Linked DNA regions of Lonchura striata. The protein of the gene in region 2 interacts with the protein of the main gene of each other region in a pairwise test. Links are inferred from orthologs where the notes say so. Each region holds a gene or a part of one and is shown on either strand. Other genes may lie near its edges.

Region 1 (7,714 bases), on a different chromosome or scaffold from region 2:
TACATTCTTAGCATAAACTAAGAAGCCATTCACAAAGTATTCCTTTGAGTAAAAAGGCATACACATTTTGATTTGAATACATAAACCATGTTCATACCACCTAAATTAAAACCACAAGAGACACTGTTCATGTCACACAATAAATACTATTCAATTTTACCAAGTTTATTACATAAAAACGCCATTACTACTGAAAAGATTACTTTGCATATATTAATGTTACCCATCTCATTTTTCAGCTTAGTGCCATAAACCTCTCTTTGCTATGGTCTGGGAAGTTTCTTTATCTGCACATATGTGAAGCCCTACCCAAAAAGAATGTCACAGTGACAAAACATCTATTTCTATTCTTAAAAAAAAACACCCTGATTTTTTTTTTTTTACACTACACCTTTAGAGAAAACCTAGAAGAAAATAATAGGCAATCACACTGCAGCCTCATTAAGAAAAACTGTCACTTCAAACTGAAAAATCAAGCAACAAAAGTTTTAAAATAAGCAAAGGCAAGCAACTTCTGTCACATATTCCACACTACATGTCATCTATACAGGGTTTTATTTTCAGCTCTTTGTCTTTTACTGTGCACTTGCAGAAAGAGGTATGTAAGACTGCTATATATTATGGAGACTTAATTATTTCAATGAGTATCTGAAGACTTCTCCAGTGTCAAAGATTTACCAAAATCTCCTCATAAACTCAGGTTTTATGCCTAACTTCCTCCCCAACACAAAAGAGCAAACAGCCAATGTTTTCTTGCTGCAAAATGAATGACTGAAAGCCAAGAGGAAAAGAGAGGAAGGAATCCCACCTACCTCACCAGAGCAATCTGCCAGCATGCACATTAGCACCAACAGATGCTCCAGATGTGCTTCTGGGTCAGAAAAAGACTAGGAGTACCTGCCCTAGAACTGTTTCCCAGTGTGAGACACTTCAACATAAACAATTGCTGTTGATTAACACATCTGTCAGCATGTGCATTAATCATCTATTCACTGTGTGCATCTTCCCCATCTACCCTCCACAACGGTAAAAGTTTAAAAAAATTGTATCTGTTTAACCTCAGGTCTCACAGCAGCGTTGTCCAGCATTGCCCAGAAATGCACACTCTGCTCCTCTGTAGCATTTCTGCAAAAGATCACTAAATATCCTGAGAACCCTATCTCCAAAATCACTAGGGACCTCTCTTGCCCGCTTGGCAGCTGTGTACTAGCGTACATCTGTTTGAGTGGCTCACCCGGCGTTACAGAGGAAACTAACAAGAAAACTAGACCTATGATCCTGATTTTTCAGTTCTCTACTTTTCCAATTAGTCACGGCTTCCTTCCATTCCTTGCAGAGCACCTTCAGAACAGCCTTTGAAGCTGAAGGGTCAAATGTGAAAAGCAACGCTGAAAGCTCAGGTTCAGCACACGGCAGGGAAGTACAACGCCGATCCATTCTGCTGCACAGCTGTCCAGATCCCAGTGACAGGGGGCAGGCGGGTGGACACAAAAGGCAACAAGGCTTTTAAAAGAGCAAGCCCACATGTGAGGTGGAATTTTATTTCTATTTGTCACATGTAAAGCTCCTAGAACAGTGGTTTAGATCTGTTGTCTATGGGGCTGTTGCAGTAAAAGCCTAACACACCACCTTATCGTTTTATTCTACCCATCTCATCTCAGCAATTATCTCAGATTTCAGTATTTACATATCTAAAAAAGTCAATTTACCCAAGCATCACCACCCTCCCCAAACTGCAGAGCATTCCACTAGCTACGGCAGAATCTCAGACAATTCCCAGCTCAAAAAAAAAACCCAAAAAAATAAAACCCAACTTGTTTTCAGCTCGAGCCTCAGAAAAAAAAAATTAAAATATGCACAAGTTTAGCGACAGTTCCAAAGTCTCTGAAAACGGGCTTTCATCATGAAAACACTGACACGGCTTCAACAAGAATAAACAGGAACGCTGTAATTTCCCAGTCTTTCCAACATCTTAAAGAGTATTTCTAATCAGATGTCGTCCCTGCCTCACGTTTATTAGTAAAGACTGAAACCCGGGGTTTACTCCGGAGCTTCAATAACAAGGGCACAATGATCTCACGGCAACTGAAGCGATTTAAGCGAGACACCCGCTGCATGACCAAAATAGCCCGCTCCACAAAAGGAGAGGCACGGTTTCACACTTAGCCTCTTTCATGACAGCCAGCGTCTCCGCGGCGCGCTGCCCTGCCCGCACGCCGCGCCTTAAGGATCCTAGAAACTGTTACCGGAGTTCGCATCCCTCCCCGAGCCCACGGGACCGGGGGCAGCGGGGGCGCGGCGGGACGCGGGTGCAGGTGGCCGCGGCGCCGGGCGCGGCGGAGGGGCTGCCCGGGTCCCGCCCGTGCGAGGCAGCGCGGAGGGGAGCGGAGAGCGCGCACGGACACACGCGCGCCCGCCGCGCACTCCCCGTTACGCAACGCGCGTATTTCCCACTTTAAGGAATAAGCGCTAAGCGCGCCTGCAAAGCCCGCGGAGCTCCGGGGGCGGGGGTGCAGCCCCCCGCCTGACCCCGCGCAACAGCTGCTGTGCTTGGGAGGAGGAGGAGAAGGAGGGGAGAAGCCACGCTGCCCCCCCCCACGCACGGCCAGCCTCCCCCCAAACTTCGCCCCCCTCCCGCCCGTTGCCCTTCCCGGCGGGGCTGCCGAGCCGCGGAACAGGCGCACTCACCTCGCCTCCGCGCAACTTTCGGGGGTCGCCCCTCTCGCTGCAGCCTGGGAGGGAGGTGGGAGAGGCAGTGGGGCGGGGTGGAGTGGGCCCGGGGGTGGGGGGGCTGTTACGGCTGAGGAGGTTTGGGGAAGGGGGAGGTTGCTCTTGTTGTTGCTGCTGCTGTTGTTTCGGAAATTCTTATTAGTATTTCTCTGCGGTCAGAAACCTGCACCCTCCCCCCCCCAAATGAAAAAAAAAAAACCCGACCCAGACGATCATCACATGGCGATTGCTTTGAACCAGCTGTTTCCAGAGCCAAAGTCTTGCGGAGAAAAATAAAGGGGGAAGGGAGGGAAGGAGGGGAGGGCTGGCAGGGGGGCCGGAGGAGGAGAGAAAGCCGCAGCGGAGGGAGGGCGGGTGGAGAGAGGGCGGGCGGCGGAGCGGGGGGGGAGGGGGAGCAGCACCGCGGCGGCTGTGTCGCTGCCGGAGCGGCACCCGGGGCCGGCGGCGGTGGCAGCCCGGCCGGTGGAGGCGGAGGAGAGAAGGCGGCGCTGCTGTGCTGCTGCTGCTGCCGCGGCCGCTGCTGCTGCCCGGCTCCGCCGCCCGCCGCCGCCTCCCGCGCCCCGGCCCGGCGCCGCCCCCGCCCCTCAATCGCTACATTGTTGACATTCGCAGGCTGACGTCACCCTCCCCGCCCCGCCGCGCGCTCCATTCACAACAACGCTACGCCAACGGCGCAGCGCCCGCCGCCGCGCCTACGCCCGCCGCGGCCCCTACGCACGGGGAGCGGCGTACGGCCGCTCCGCGAATAGCGGTGGCGCCGCCGGCGCTCCGCCCGCCCCGCCCCTCCCGCCCCTCCGCAAGCGGTCAGCGCATGCGCGGCACGGGCTCGCTCGCTCCCTCCCGCGGCAGTGCGTGTGTTTGTGTGTGCATGTGTGTGTGTGCATGTATGTATGTGTGTGTCTGTGTGTATGTATGTATGTATGTGTCTTGTGTATGTATGTATGTATGTATACATGTCTGTTTGTGTATATGTGTGTGTGTGTGTGCGCGCGAGAGAGGGGGTGCGTGCGTGCGTGCGTGTGCCGCCAGACCCCGCACCGGGGGTCGCGCCGGCGGCCGCGGGGGGCTCTGGGAGCCGTAGTCCGCCGCGAGGGGCCGCCATGGCGGCGGGGGCGGACTGAGGGGGCCCCGCTACGGCGGCTGTGGCGGTGGGAAGGCACTGGGAAGGGTGCGACGGGCAGGGCAGAGAACACCCACCCCGGTCACCCCTGGCTGCCAGCGGGGTCGCCTCGGTGTTGATGCCTGCGGTATTTTGCGCGCTCCGCCCCCCGGAGAAACCTCATCCTACTTGTAGTGCCGACCGCAAGCGCCCAGCAGTCATGAGTCAGCCGTGCCGAGCATCGCGCGGGGAGGTGAGCGCTCCCGGGACTGAAAACAAAAACAAAACCCCGACCGCGTGTTCCCGACGCGGGAGCGCGGATTGTTCTTCACCTCCTCTCGGCTGTGTGTGTGTGCGTGTGCGTGTGAGTGAGTGTGTGTGTGTGTGAGTGAACCACCCGAATCCGAACCCTTTTCCCACTCCGAGGCTTGGTGCCACGGTTTCTTTTGCCAAGTGGAAAGCTGTGATTCCTGCAAATTATCCTGGTGCCGGCAGCCTGTGCTTTTGAGCGAGACCCCAAATGTCAGTGGCCATGAAATGCAGTTGGGAGAACCGGTAAATGAATAAGCAGCATTAGCATTCTGCAAGCCCGAGTTACTCAGCCGAGCCTGGACAGAAAAACATAAAGATGAAAGACAGCTGATAAAAAGGAAAGTTGGAGAATAAATGATTCACAATAGGGGCCGTGAGTGAGATTATCTTTGGAGACATCTCTAATTAAAGGGCGTTGGATAACTAGAGGGTTACATTTTCCTGGGTCAATGATCTTGAAAAAGAAATTGCCGTTGCAGTAAATGTCAATAAAGAATGATGGTGACCTACTGCTAGCAAAAGCACGTTCAGTAATTAACATGTGCATGTTTGTTATTTTTTCTGCGTTTGTCAGTTTTCATTGTGTATTTTCATCCTCTGTTTCCCCCTTTCACTATAGCCAGATGATATACTGTGTTTTCTGTATCTTTTAGAAAGGAGCCATTCCTGTGAAGTTTTCTCAATGATGTCTTCTGAAATTGCATCAGCTACCTGCATTTTTGAAGTCTGCTAAACTACAGAAAACTATGTTGTCAACCTAGATTCAACTCTTTGTATTTCAGGGGAAGCATATAGTCACTTTTAAAAAATGTGATTCTCCCCATTTTGCATTTTGCACTATTATCCACTTGTGTAAAGTGGAAAGCATTTAGTTACTTACCCCATTTTGCCCCTACTTTTCCTAGCTACATGTAGCTGCAGAATAGCACCCCAACAGAGATTTTGACTCATAAACGTCACTTTCCCTTTCCAAGTAATGTTCATGTGAAGCCTTGCTCACCAGTGCCATTTAGGTTCTGGTTCTGCAGACATATATGGTATTAAGCATGCAAAAAGTCCCACAGGGTGTAAGGAGACTCATCATGTTTATACACTAGTAGGGCTGAGTTTTTGTGTTGCCTTGTTTATCCCTCAGACACAAAAATAATTTTGTATTGACATGGGAGATAAAAATACTATAATGAGAAGGACAGAGAAATAAAAATAAGCCATGCAGCATTTGTAATGCTTTAGTTAGCACGCTACATGCCCATTATGCCACTGCATTCAAAGTGCACATACTCTGTTATTTACAGCACACTACAGGAGATATGGCTTCAGGTAGTCAAAGCCATCCAAACTGGAAACAAAGCACGCCATGTATGCTCTGCCCATAGCACAATAATTGCCATTTATCTTACTAGCTGATGTTTTAAAATGAATGCTACTATTTGGCTAAAAGGAGGAGGAATGTGAGAATGTCCATTTTGGGTTTTATTATTCAATCTATGCTGTGATAAAATGTGCAGTGGCTTCAATGTGAATCGGGTCATGCTTGTGCAGGACAGAGATATCAGCACAGAGTGAAAGAAGGTAGAGCTAAGCAGGGGCTCTGCACAGAAGCTCACCAAGTAGCTCTATGAAGCTTTTGGTACCCAAATGCTATTAATCATTTTGTGATCAACTCATAATTCAAGGCAGAGTTCACAATCCCATAAGTCACTTGGATCATGATTTTATTATGGCTGTTGTATCTCCATATAACAGTAGAAAACTGAGGAAAAGATGACAGTTCTTTCCAAATACAGAAGGAATATTATATTAACCAAAAGGAATATTATACTAACCAAATAAAGCCTACTGTTTAAAAGTTGTATTTTTATATCACATATTTTACATTTTAATGCCTTGGCTTCCCAATTCATTTCCAAACTGTTTATATTCCAGCAATGAATCTGGTCTGATACTGTTTGCATTGCAATCAACTATCTTCATGCCTAGATTTTTTTATATATAACTATTTCTGGACCATTTTTCTTGCAGTGCAACCAAACATATATTCCAGCCAACTATGAGTTATTTGAAGAGGCATCATGGTGGGTGTCTCAAAACAACACCCATTTTGTCAAGCAATAACAACAAAATAAGGTAAGAATGGATGTGAAGAGGTACAGTTTAGAAGTTGATCCAAGAATACTTCAAAGGAGAACTTGCCATGAATGCTGCAGCTCATCCTCCAGAAAAGGCTGCATCCACACATTCAACAACATGTGTTGACTCAGAGCTATGGACAAATTTCCTGGTTGCATGTTACCTTTACTAACATTAATTAGGTGGTTTCTCCACACTGCCATGACTTCATCTCTTTGAGGAGGACTGCCTGCTATGGCACTTGACCTACTTTTCAGTGGTTCCTTTTTGGATAACACAAAACTTTCCAGAGTAGCTGAATTATGAATACATATTTCAATCATATTTCATATGTAAATCTAAAAGATTTTAAAGTGAATCCAATATTGTAAAACATGTCCCAACATCCCTTTCTGAGATCTCATTTGCATATCAATCTTGTAACTTGAATAGTCTTAATAGTGCCACTTGTTGGAGAGCTCTGTGTATTGCAAGGTATTTCAGTCATGTATTTATAAAAACAAATGGCTTTTTCCTAGTGAGAGGCAATTCCTAATTTAAAGTGCTATGGAAAGACAAGTACTGCAGTCTTGGCTTCAACCACGCTGACTCAAAGACTTTGAATGAGCAACACGTTAGTGGATCTTATGCAATTTGATCTTTACAATGGTAATGAAAGCGTGAAAAGGGAAAAATAAGGACAAATCTTGCAAATTTTTAATTCAGGAAGTTGTCATTTCCTTCTGAAGCACATTTTGCCCTTTAGCATTTGGGTTGAAAAATACCAGTTTTCCTGTGTAAGCTCTGGTCCTGTGCTGAGATCTAAGTAATTATTGGTAATTATGCACATATTCTCCTGGGTTATGCAGGTAGACTTAATGACACTGCATCATTTTCTTCACAGTGATTAAGAAATTCACAGTTGATTATTGATTATCCTACAGGCACCGTATGTCTTTTCACAAGCAGGTCCTAACACACCCCAGGTATGTTACATTTCCTGGAGCACTGACAGTACTAACAGCACGCCCTGAGTCAGTGGCGGTGACAGCTACGAAGGAGACATTGTCATGGTGTGCAATATCAAAGATCCACAGTGTAGCGTCTCTGGAGCGTGGCTTGACATCACATCAAAAGCTGCACAAAGGAGCATTTGTCATGCACAGAGCTTCAGATCCCTGGCATGGAATTTTGAGGATCTGGTGAGATATAATATTGGAAATATATTGAAGTATCAACATTGTTGCTGGGACTAAACTTACAGTGACAGGAAGCAAGGTAGGAAAACAGGGCAGGCACTGACCTGTTTTAAATTGATGCAGGTAACATAATGAAAAGGGAATATAGGGACCTCTTTGTATGTCAAGAAACAGAGGGCCAGGAATCGTTCAGGTTTACACATTTTTTCCAAAAAGTATTTTGTGGTGACTGAGTGGATTCACTGGTTTTTATCTTTTTCAAAAA
Region 2 (7,680 bases):
GCATGCCAGGGCCAGAAACACCTTCTTCCTCCTTATCCTAAGAGTCAAGGTGTGCTCACAAGAAAACAAAGATTAAACATACCAAAACTCAGAGCAGACTCCTTCCCTGCCATGGAAGACAAGACTTCAGAACTGGTAAGAGCAATTCCCAGGCCTGCTTTAAAGAGACTTATACCTGGGCTCCTGCTTCTTTCCCCACATATCTCCTCTGTGCAGGCTTTTCAGTTCAGACTGCTACTACACTGCCCAAGGAATTGATCCACACAGATAGCACCTGACAGACATGGCTGTATCTCAAACACCCCAAAGTGCACTTCCCTCTCAGCCCAGACTGCGCCCACTCAGCCCTGGCCAGAATTCCTGTGCAGCCTACAGGTACCCCTGACCCTTTCATCTTGCAGGTGTCAAACAACAATTTTGTCTGCCCCTGCCTTACTCCCAGCAGGACTGATGTCAAGTTACAGACCAGAACCAAATGCACACATCAGCAAATATGACTTAGTGCTCTTTCAGCAGCTGTGGCACAGGCTCCCTACAGTGCAACTACACCCTACTGGAGGTGAGCAGGACTAGCAGTCCCCAGAACACCAGCAGAGATATTCTGAAGCCTGCAGCCTGCCAGGAGCCAGGCTATTTATATATACCTAGAGGACAATGCTCCTTCCAACAAGATGTCTGCTACACCCAACCACACTGGCATAGGCACGGTCATTTACTGCCCAAGGAAGGCAGCTGCAGTGAGGCAGGACAGGCAGCATAAAAGCAACTGCTGCACAAAATCAATTCTTCCCTCCTTCCTAGACTGCTCTTTATTCCTTCTGTTCCTATCTGGTAAACAACATGTCTGCTAGGAAAAGGGGAGAGGAAAGGGAATAGCTGGAGACACCAATGTGCATGCCCCTGCAGCACTTGCGTTCCCTGTCCTCTTTCAAGTGGAAGGAGTCAAGGATAGGTATGGTCAGTGCAACCACAGGAATTTGCTCACTCTGTGGCACTAAAGAATTTGCAGCTACCTGGTAAGCACACAGGCTACCTTCATTACAGCAGACCCAAAATGGAACAAACAGGGCACATGCATGCTGCATCAGGCAGGGCACTGGGAAGAGCGCTCCTCAGCAGGCTGGGGAATGGCTGGTGCTGGCAAAGCTAGACACAGCAGAGGCAGCTACTCCTTCCTGCCCCTGCACACTCTAGCACAACACCCTCTCAGGTAGGAGCCTCTCACAACAGTCATCAGAGCTGCAACAGATTGTCCCCAAAAACCTGGTGATCCCACCTCTCCAAGGTGCAGAAACATGTAGGGCAGTCAGTAGAATGGAAAGAACAACCCAAAGAGTTTCCTGGGTCCTGTTTTAACTGGGCTGTTTGGCAACTCACAAGGAGGACATCCAGAGAACTGGCAAAATAGCAGAGACCAAACTTCGCCTTATTCTCCAGACTGCTGATGGATCAGCTTTTGATAGCTTCCTGAAGAAAGATCACACTGAAAAGTGCCAAATACTATGGCTGCAATGAAGAAACTGCAGCCTTGACACATTTCCCCAGTGCTCAAAAGGCCTGAACTCAGCACAAGCACAGCCAATTCTCCCCTCAGCTAGTGGCAGCACATGGGAACTGAAAGCACCACGCATGATCCACCATGGGCCCTTCTCCGCACTCCTGATGCAGAACCCTGCCACAAGCCCCATGTAAACATGGTGATGTCACCTGCTCCAGCGCGGGCAGAGTGAGGGCTGCGCTCCCACACGGGCTCCATGGCTCTGGCAGGCACAGGAGTGTGATTTGTCAGCAGCGAAAGGGGACACAGCACAGAAACACTCTCTTCCAGTGTGAATTTCATACTCTGTTTATTTGCTTGCTGGCAAATTGGCTCACACAGTCTCATCCAACGACTCCCCAAATTACCTGTGTAGCCAAGATAGTGCCTCCTCTGTTTCCTTGGCGAGGTCATCCAACCCTGAGCAATTTTTTCCTCAAGGAATCTGCCCACCCGGCTGGTTTTAACTCTGCTCACACTGCTAAAGCAAAGGGCCAGCTCTGAGAGACTCCCTCCCACCCTTGGCAGTGCCCTCCTCCGATCACACAGTTCACATATCCCGGGCAGCCAGAGACGTGCCCAGCTCGGAACAGCACGACCGAGGCGTGCACAGCACAGACGCACGCAGCCCCTCCGTGCCGGTCGCACACAGCATTCCCGCGGGAGTGGAAACCCACTCCACCGGGGGGACACTGCAGCGCCCAGCACCGGGCAGCCCCTACGGACCAGAACCTCCCACCCGCACGTCTGCAGCTACCGAGGACAAGGTACCGACAGCAGGCAGCGGGGCTGTGCTGCCTGACTCTGCCCTGGGAACCGGGCGAGACGCCCCGATGGCTCCTCACCCTCCCGGCCCTCCCGTTCTCTGGAGAAGAACGACAGACCACGGCGAACACCCGCGGGGCTGGGGGCGGCAGCCCGGCGGGAGAGGGGGACGCGAGGCCCCGCCGGGGGCCTGAGCGCCCGAAGGTGCGGCGGGGTTAAGAGGGGCAGGTTCGGCCTGAGGGCAGCCGGTCTGTAACCCGACCGGGGCATTCGACACCCGCGGGAGGGAGGGGCCGGATGCGCCCGCGATGCCTGCGGGCGGACCCGGGAGGCGGTGGGCAGGGCCGGGGCAGGCCCCGGGCCAGCGCCCCGCGCACCTGTTGCTCGGCCGCCGAGCGGGGCCCGGACACGCCGGGGCGGGGCGGGGCGGGGCGGGGGCCGGGCGGCGCCGGGCCGGCGCGACCCCAAAGCCCCGCTGTGAGTCAGCGGTGGCGGCCCCGTTGGGCAACTGCCGACCCCGCAGCGGCCCCGGCCACCATCCCGGGGCCCGCCGTGCCCGCCCCGCCCCGGCCCGCCCCCGGGGACCGGCCCGCCCCACCCCGGCCGGTGCCAAGGCCGCGCCCGCTCTCGCTGCCGGTGGCGCTCACCTCCTGCCGGGGCCGCCGGGCCAGGCCAGGCCGGGCGGGGCAGGGAGGCCGCGCTGGGAGGGACCGGGACTCACGAGCCGCCGCCGCCGCCGCTCACCGACTCGTCACGTGATATTTGGGTCACGTGGCTCCATTCATGAAGCGCCCGGCGCAACCGCCCCGGGCCTTAAGGGGGCCGCGCTCCCCGGGGGCAGCGGGGGGAACGCGGCCCGACCGGGACTGGCCCGACCGGGACCGGCCCCGGCCCGACCGGGACCGGCCCGGCGCCCGCTCCGCGCCCTGCCGGCGCCTCCCGCCGCCGCAGTCGACTTCCCGTCCCGGGGCGAGCGCTGCCGCTCCGGCAAAGTACTGGGTCGGCCGCGGATCAGCTTCCGCCGTCTCTGACAGCAGCCACCGGCCTCCTGCGCTCTCCCCCGTGGCACGTCGCGCGTTTCATAGCGCGCAGTCCCTCCGCCCGCACCGGCAGGGCCCTCGGCACCGGCGGCTCCGCGCTCCCTTTGAGCTGCGCCCGCGGTCCCTCGGAGCCCGGCTCCGTGTGCGGCGGGCCCCGCCTGCAGCGGTAGGGCCGGGACCACCACTGCTCCGAAACGCCGCTTTCCCAGTCACGCCGGGCTCGCTCCAGGTGTGTTCCCGGCCCTCCTGATACGATTCGGGTCCACGACACTCACACTGGTGCCTACTGTTTGATGCCATGCTACAGGCCAAGAAGGGAGGACAACATGAGCATACCAGAGAAGGGCGAGGGGCCAGTGGAAAGTCCAGCAATGAAAGCGGGCACAAGGGGTTAAGGAGAAACTGTGCCCCGTAGGAGCAGCAGGGGCTCGGCTGGGCCCGGATCCAGCAGCAGCTGCTCTGTGCACAGGGGATGTGACCGCACGCCTTGCAACGCCTCTTGTAGCCCCTGATGGGCTGGGTTTCCATCCGCTCTGGTGCCCACCTCAGTTACAGGTCTATAACGATCTAGGAAGTTCATCTACAGCTGTGTCTCTGGGAGTACCCAGGGGCACCCCCTTAATCTCCTGGCAGAGGGGGTCAAGTTCAGGCATCCATTCATTCTGCATCCCACTTTTTCAGCCAAGTGAGAACTCTTTCCACAACACTTCCTTGCATTTTGCATCAGGCAGTACTTTATCCGTCTGACCTCCAGCCTGGCCTGTCAGCACAGGTATTACAGATCCTGAGCAGGAAACCGAGGAACATATGAGACCCAAGGACTCCTGACCTAGTGGCCACTGCCAGTGGCAAGGGATACCCCCAGTCAAAGCAGTTGGGATTAGCCACAGCTCTCATCAGAGACACAGTTTTTTATGTAAAGAGGGAAGAGGAGTAACCATCTGTCATACCTATAGGGTCATACCTTGCTGGCAGTCAAAAGTCTTAACACTAAAAATACTTTACCGTCACCAGCACCTCAGAGACAGCAGGAAATGTAAAAACTCACTACCCCTCCACCTGCCAAACCACCCAAGGAAGGCCAGCAGTAAAAGAGGGGCAGTGAGAGGTCACAGTTCCCCAAACCAGACTGCGCAGAGAGAATGGGCAGCCGCTGGAGAGAAAAGGAGCACAGTCTGATGTTCATATCTCCCTAAGGGCTGGGAGATCGGACAGAGGCAGTTGGTCTGTTCCAAGAGGTGATTCTGGGCCCAGCCCATGATGCACCATGCAGTATGGACTTTGTGTGGCAGCATCTGCTCCAGCTAGTAACGCCAGCGACAGGACATAAGCTCTGACAGCAGGTGCAAGATGGGGCTAGAGATAATTAAACGTTTGAAACCAAAAGTTCTGAAACATCTTTAAAAATCCTGTTAAAAAAATTTCTGCATGGGACACCACAAACACTGCTTGAGTCCTGGAAGTACCCAAGGCTTCTGGACAAATGATTTCCTTGACAAAGCTCTGATGAGAGCATCACCCCTGCCCAAGAAAACACCATGCCAGGGACAGCTCACCAAGCCCACTACAAGTTAAAGACCCTCTGCTACAGCTGCTGCAAGCCACAAGCCTGGTACAGGGGACACCAACGTGCTGAGTATTTTTCCTTGGACAAAAGAGAAATAACACAGAGAACAATAATGGCTTAGGAATGGTATTCCCTGTACTAGCATTCCCACTGAAATACTCAAACGCTCACTCACTGCCCTCTTGTCCGTCTCCCTCTGTGGTGGGCTGGAGAGGAGAACTGGAGGCACAAAAGGTAAAGATTGTGGTTTGCTACAAGAACAATTTACTGGAAGCAGTAATGAGATAAGAAAACAAATAATAACAGCATCAATATTAAGAAAAGCGTAGAAGAGAGGTGAAGGATTCACACGTGGTTGCTCACCACTACTCGCGTCATGCAACCAGCCAGAAGGGACCCCTTCTTCCCACCCCTCTTCAGCCCCTCTCCCCTGCTTCAAGCCTTCCTCCCCCCCCTTTGCCCACACTTAAGATGCACAGAATAACCAGGGTCCTGGCCACCTATTCCTGGCTACTGCAAAAATTAACCCTGTCCTGGCTGCAACCAGGACATTGACATTCAGCACTGCCAGAATATAGCAGTCTGGTCAGTTCTTCTTGCTCTTGCTGGTGAACAGACTGACTTTGCTAGCAGATGCTACAGACAGAGAAGGAGACTCCAGCTTCACCTTGTCCAGCAATGTTTTCTTTATGGCTGCCGGGGAAATCTTCTCTTGGTCTGCCAAATGCTGCAGCTCCCTGCAATCGGGTAGTGGGAGAGGAAGACAGAAAAAATAAGATGGGGAGAGTGGAGGGGGAAAGTCTTGCAAACTCTTTAGGACTTCCCAGTTGCCCACCTTGTCCGGATACAGGAAGCCTCCACAGCATTGATGAGGAGTGAGCGAAAGCCGCCACTCTCCAGGAAGTGCAGGGCATGGATAGTGGCTCCCCCAGGTGAGCAGACATTGTCCTTCAGCTGACCTGGATGCTGCTCAGATTCTAACAGCATTTTGGCGGCACCCTGTAGCAAGGAAAACACCTGCCAGAGTTCTGAAAGAGGAAGCCACTGTCAGACACTCCTGTTCTCACTGCACAGAGCAGCAACAACACTCACAACAGGCAAACCTAGGCTCCTGCAGGCTGCCAAAACATTTTTCAGAACTGATGAGGCCTGCAAAGGAGCAGAGTTTCCCAGGATCCATCTCCCACAGCACCAGCAGCACCAGCAGAGTGCTGCAGACACTTCCTAGAGCCCCTCACCAGGAACCTGTGTGCATTCAAACCAAATCCATTCTTTAAAGCAGATTCTGTGAGAGGACCAAGATAATTTCAAACTGTGATGTGTAGATTCCTCTGCAAAGAGCAGGCACAGACTCAGATTTGTTATGCAGGAGGTAATACTGACCAGCAAAGCCTGTGCTCCCAGTCGAACTGCCAGCCTGCGGGGAAGGCCCATCTTTACTCCTCCATCTGCAAGAGCATCCAGGGCAGTGAATGCCTGAGACCAGAGAGGAAGAAGGTGACTGAAAGACTGCTCTAGGACTGGTCTTAGGGAAGAGAGAATCCAGGCCTTTAGGACTGTTCTGTGACTCCTATCACTCACAGACTTGACAAAATGCCTCCCTCTTTCATTCATGGCTGCCATGCCAGGCTTCCCTCAAACTATTTCCAGCTCAGGAGTGGAGGGAATGGGAGAAATTCAGCTTCTGCATCATGCAAACTACAGGCCCAAGTTTTGCAACATGGACATGTGGACACTGCACACTGGCTATGGACTTCAGACTCATCTGACTCTTAAAAAAATTTTCCTGCTGCCCCAAACTGAACACCTGGAATACATGTCCCATTGCAAATATGGGTGATGGAGAAAAAAAAAAAATACAAGCTGAAGTTGCACAGATTTTTTAGCAGGCAAGCCAACTGCTCTCCCTAAGACTGGCACTAGCTGATGAAATAGCACATACATACGCAGGGCCACTGCCACTGAGCCCCGTTACAGCATCAATGAGGTCCTCTTCCACCTCGGTGCAGAAGCCCACACTGGCCATCAGTTGTTCCAAAAGCTTCCCATCTTCCACATCCGCATGAGTTCCAGTGGCATAGACTGTAGCACCTTCCCGGACTATCACAGGGGTGTTGGTCATGCACCTGATCACTTTTGGTGTGGGGCAGAAGGTAGAGAGTTTCTTAGGGCAGAAAATCATTGAAGATAGAAAGTAAGAAAAAAAAAAAGAAAGAAGGGAGAAAAATGAGCTTTAGTGCATACTTTTCATCAATGGGCTGTCCAGGAAAGGACCCCCCCCACCAGGGGCAAGAACAACACAAGCAGAAGGAAAAGAGAGACCTGTGTATCTCAAATGTCCTGCTTTGAGTCACAGCAGCCCATCCGTGAACGTGAAGCCTTAGTCAGTACCAGCAAAGCAGGAGCTGGGCAAAATCAGGTTGGAAACAGTATCCCAAAGGCCTCAAACCCACATCAACCCACAGATCTCCAAAACAGCTCCTGCAGACACTTAAGACAAATTCTGCAGAAATTCAGGGGAGATGACCTACTGCTGGTAATAGAAACATAATCGGACAGCACCTCACGTGAGAGAAAAGCTGGATAAAACCTCTAATAGCATTTGCTGATGAAGACAGGCAAAGGTGACCAAAACCAAGTTTTTTGCTGCTGCGTGACTTTAGTCCTGAGTAGCACAAGTACGACAAGTCCGTCCATCGGCTCCGCGGGGTCAGAGGAGTGGAACCAGCTCCCGGCTCGCCCTGCACGGCCCGGTCCCCTCTCACCTTCTC

What was found. The genes of interacting proteins can lie anywhere in the genome.
Region 1: the proteins of MAFG (region 2) and BACH2 interact in binary tests that used the Homo sapiens proteins (3 or more experiments, as listed by UniProt). The link is inferred for Lonchura striata from reciprocal best matches to the Homo sapiens genes MAFG and BACH2.

What each region holds. Positions count from the first base shown.
Region 1 is NC_134605.1:77,651,977-77,659,690, reverse strand, and holds the start of BACH2 (transcription regulator protein BACH2), read right to left. Parts: upstream 3,039-7,714; 5' UTR 2,689-3,038; intron 1-2,688. UniProt on the Homo sapiens protein: Transcriptional regulator that acts as a repressor or activator. Binds to Maf recognition elements (MARE). Plays an important role in coordinating transcription activation and repression by MAFK.
Region 2 is NC_134621.1:11,960,965-11,968,644, forward strand, and holds the start of MAFG (transcription factor MafG), read right to left. Parts: upstream 3,087-7,680; 5' UTR 2,950-3,086; intron 2,047-2,949; exon of another isoform or gene 1,906-2,046; intron 1-1,905. Other genes in the region: PYCR1 (pyrroline-5-carboxylate reductase 1, mitochondrial), read right to left, coding at 5,496-5,646, 5,745-5,908, 6,293-6,385, 6,852-7,073, 7,675-7,680. UniProt on the Homo sapiens protein: Since they lack a putative transactivation domain, the small Mafs behave as transcriptional repressors when they dimerize among themselves.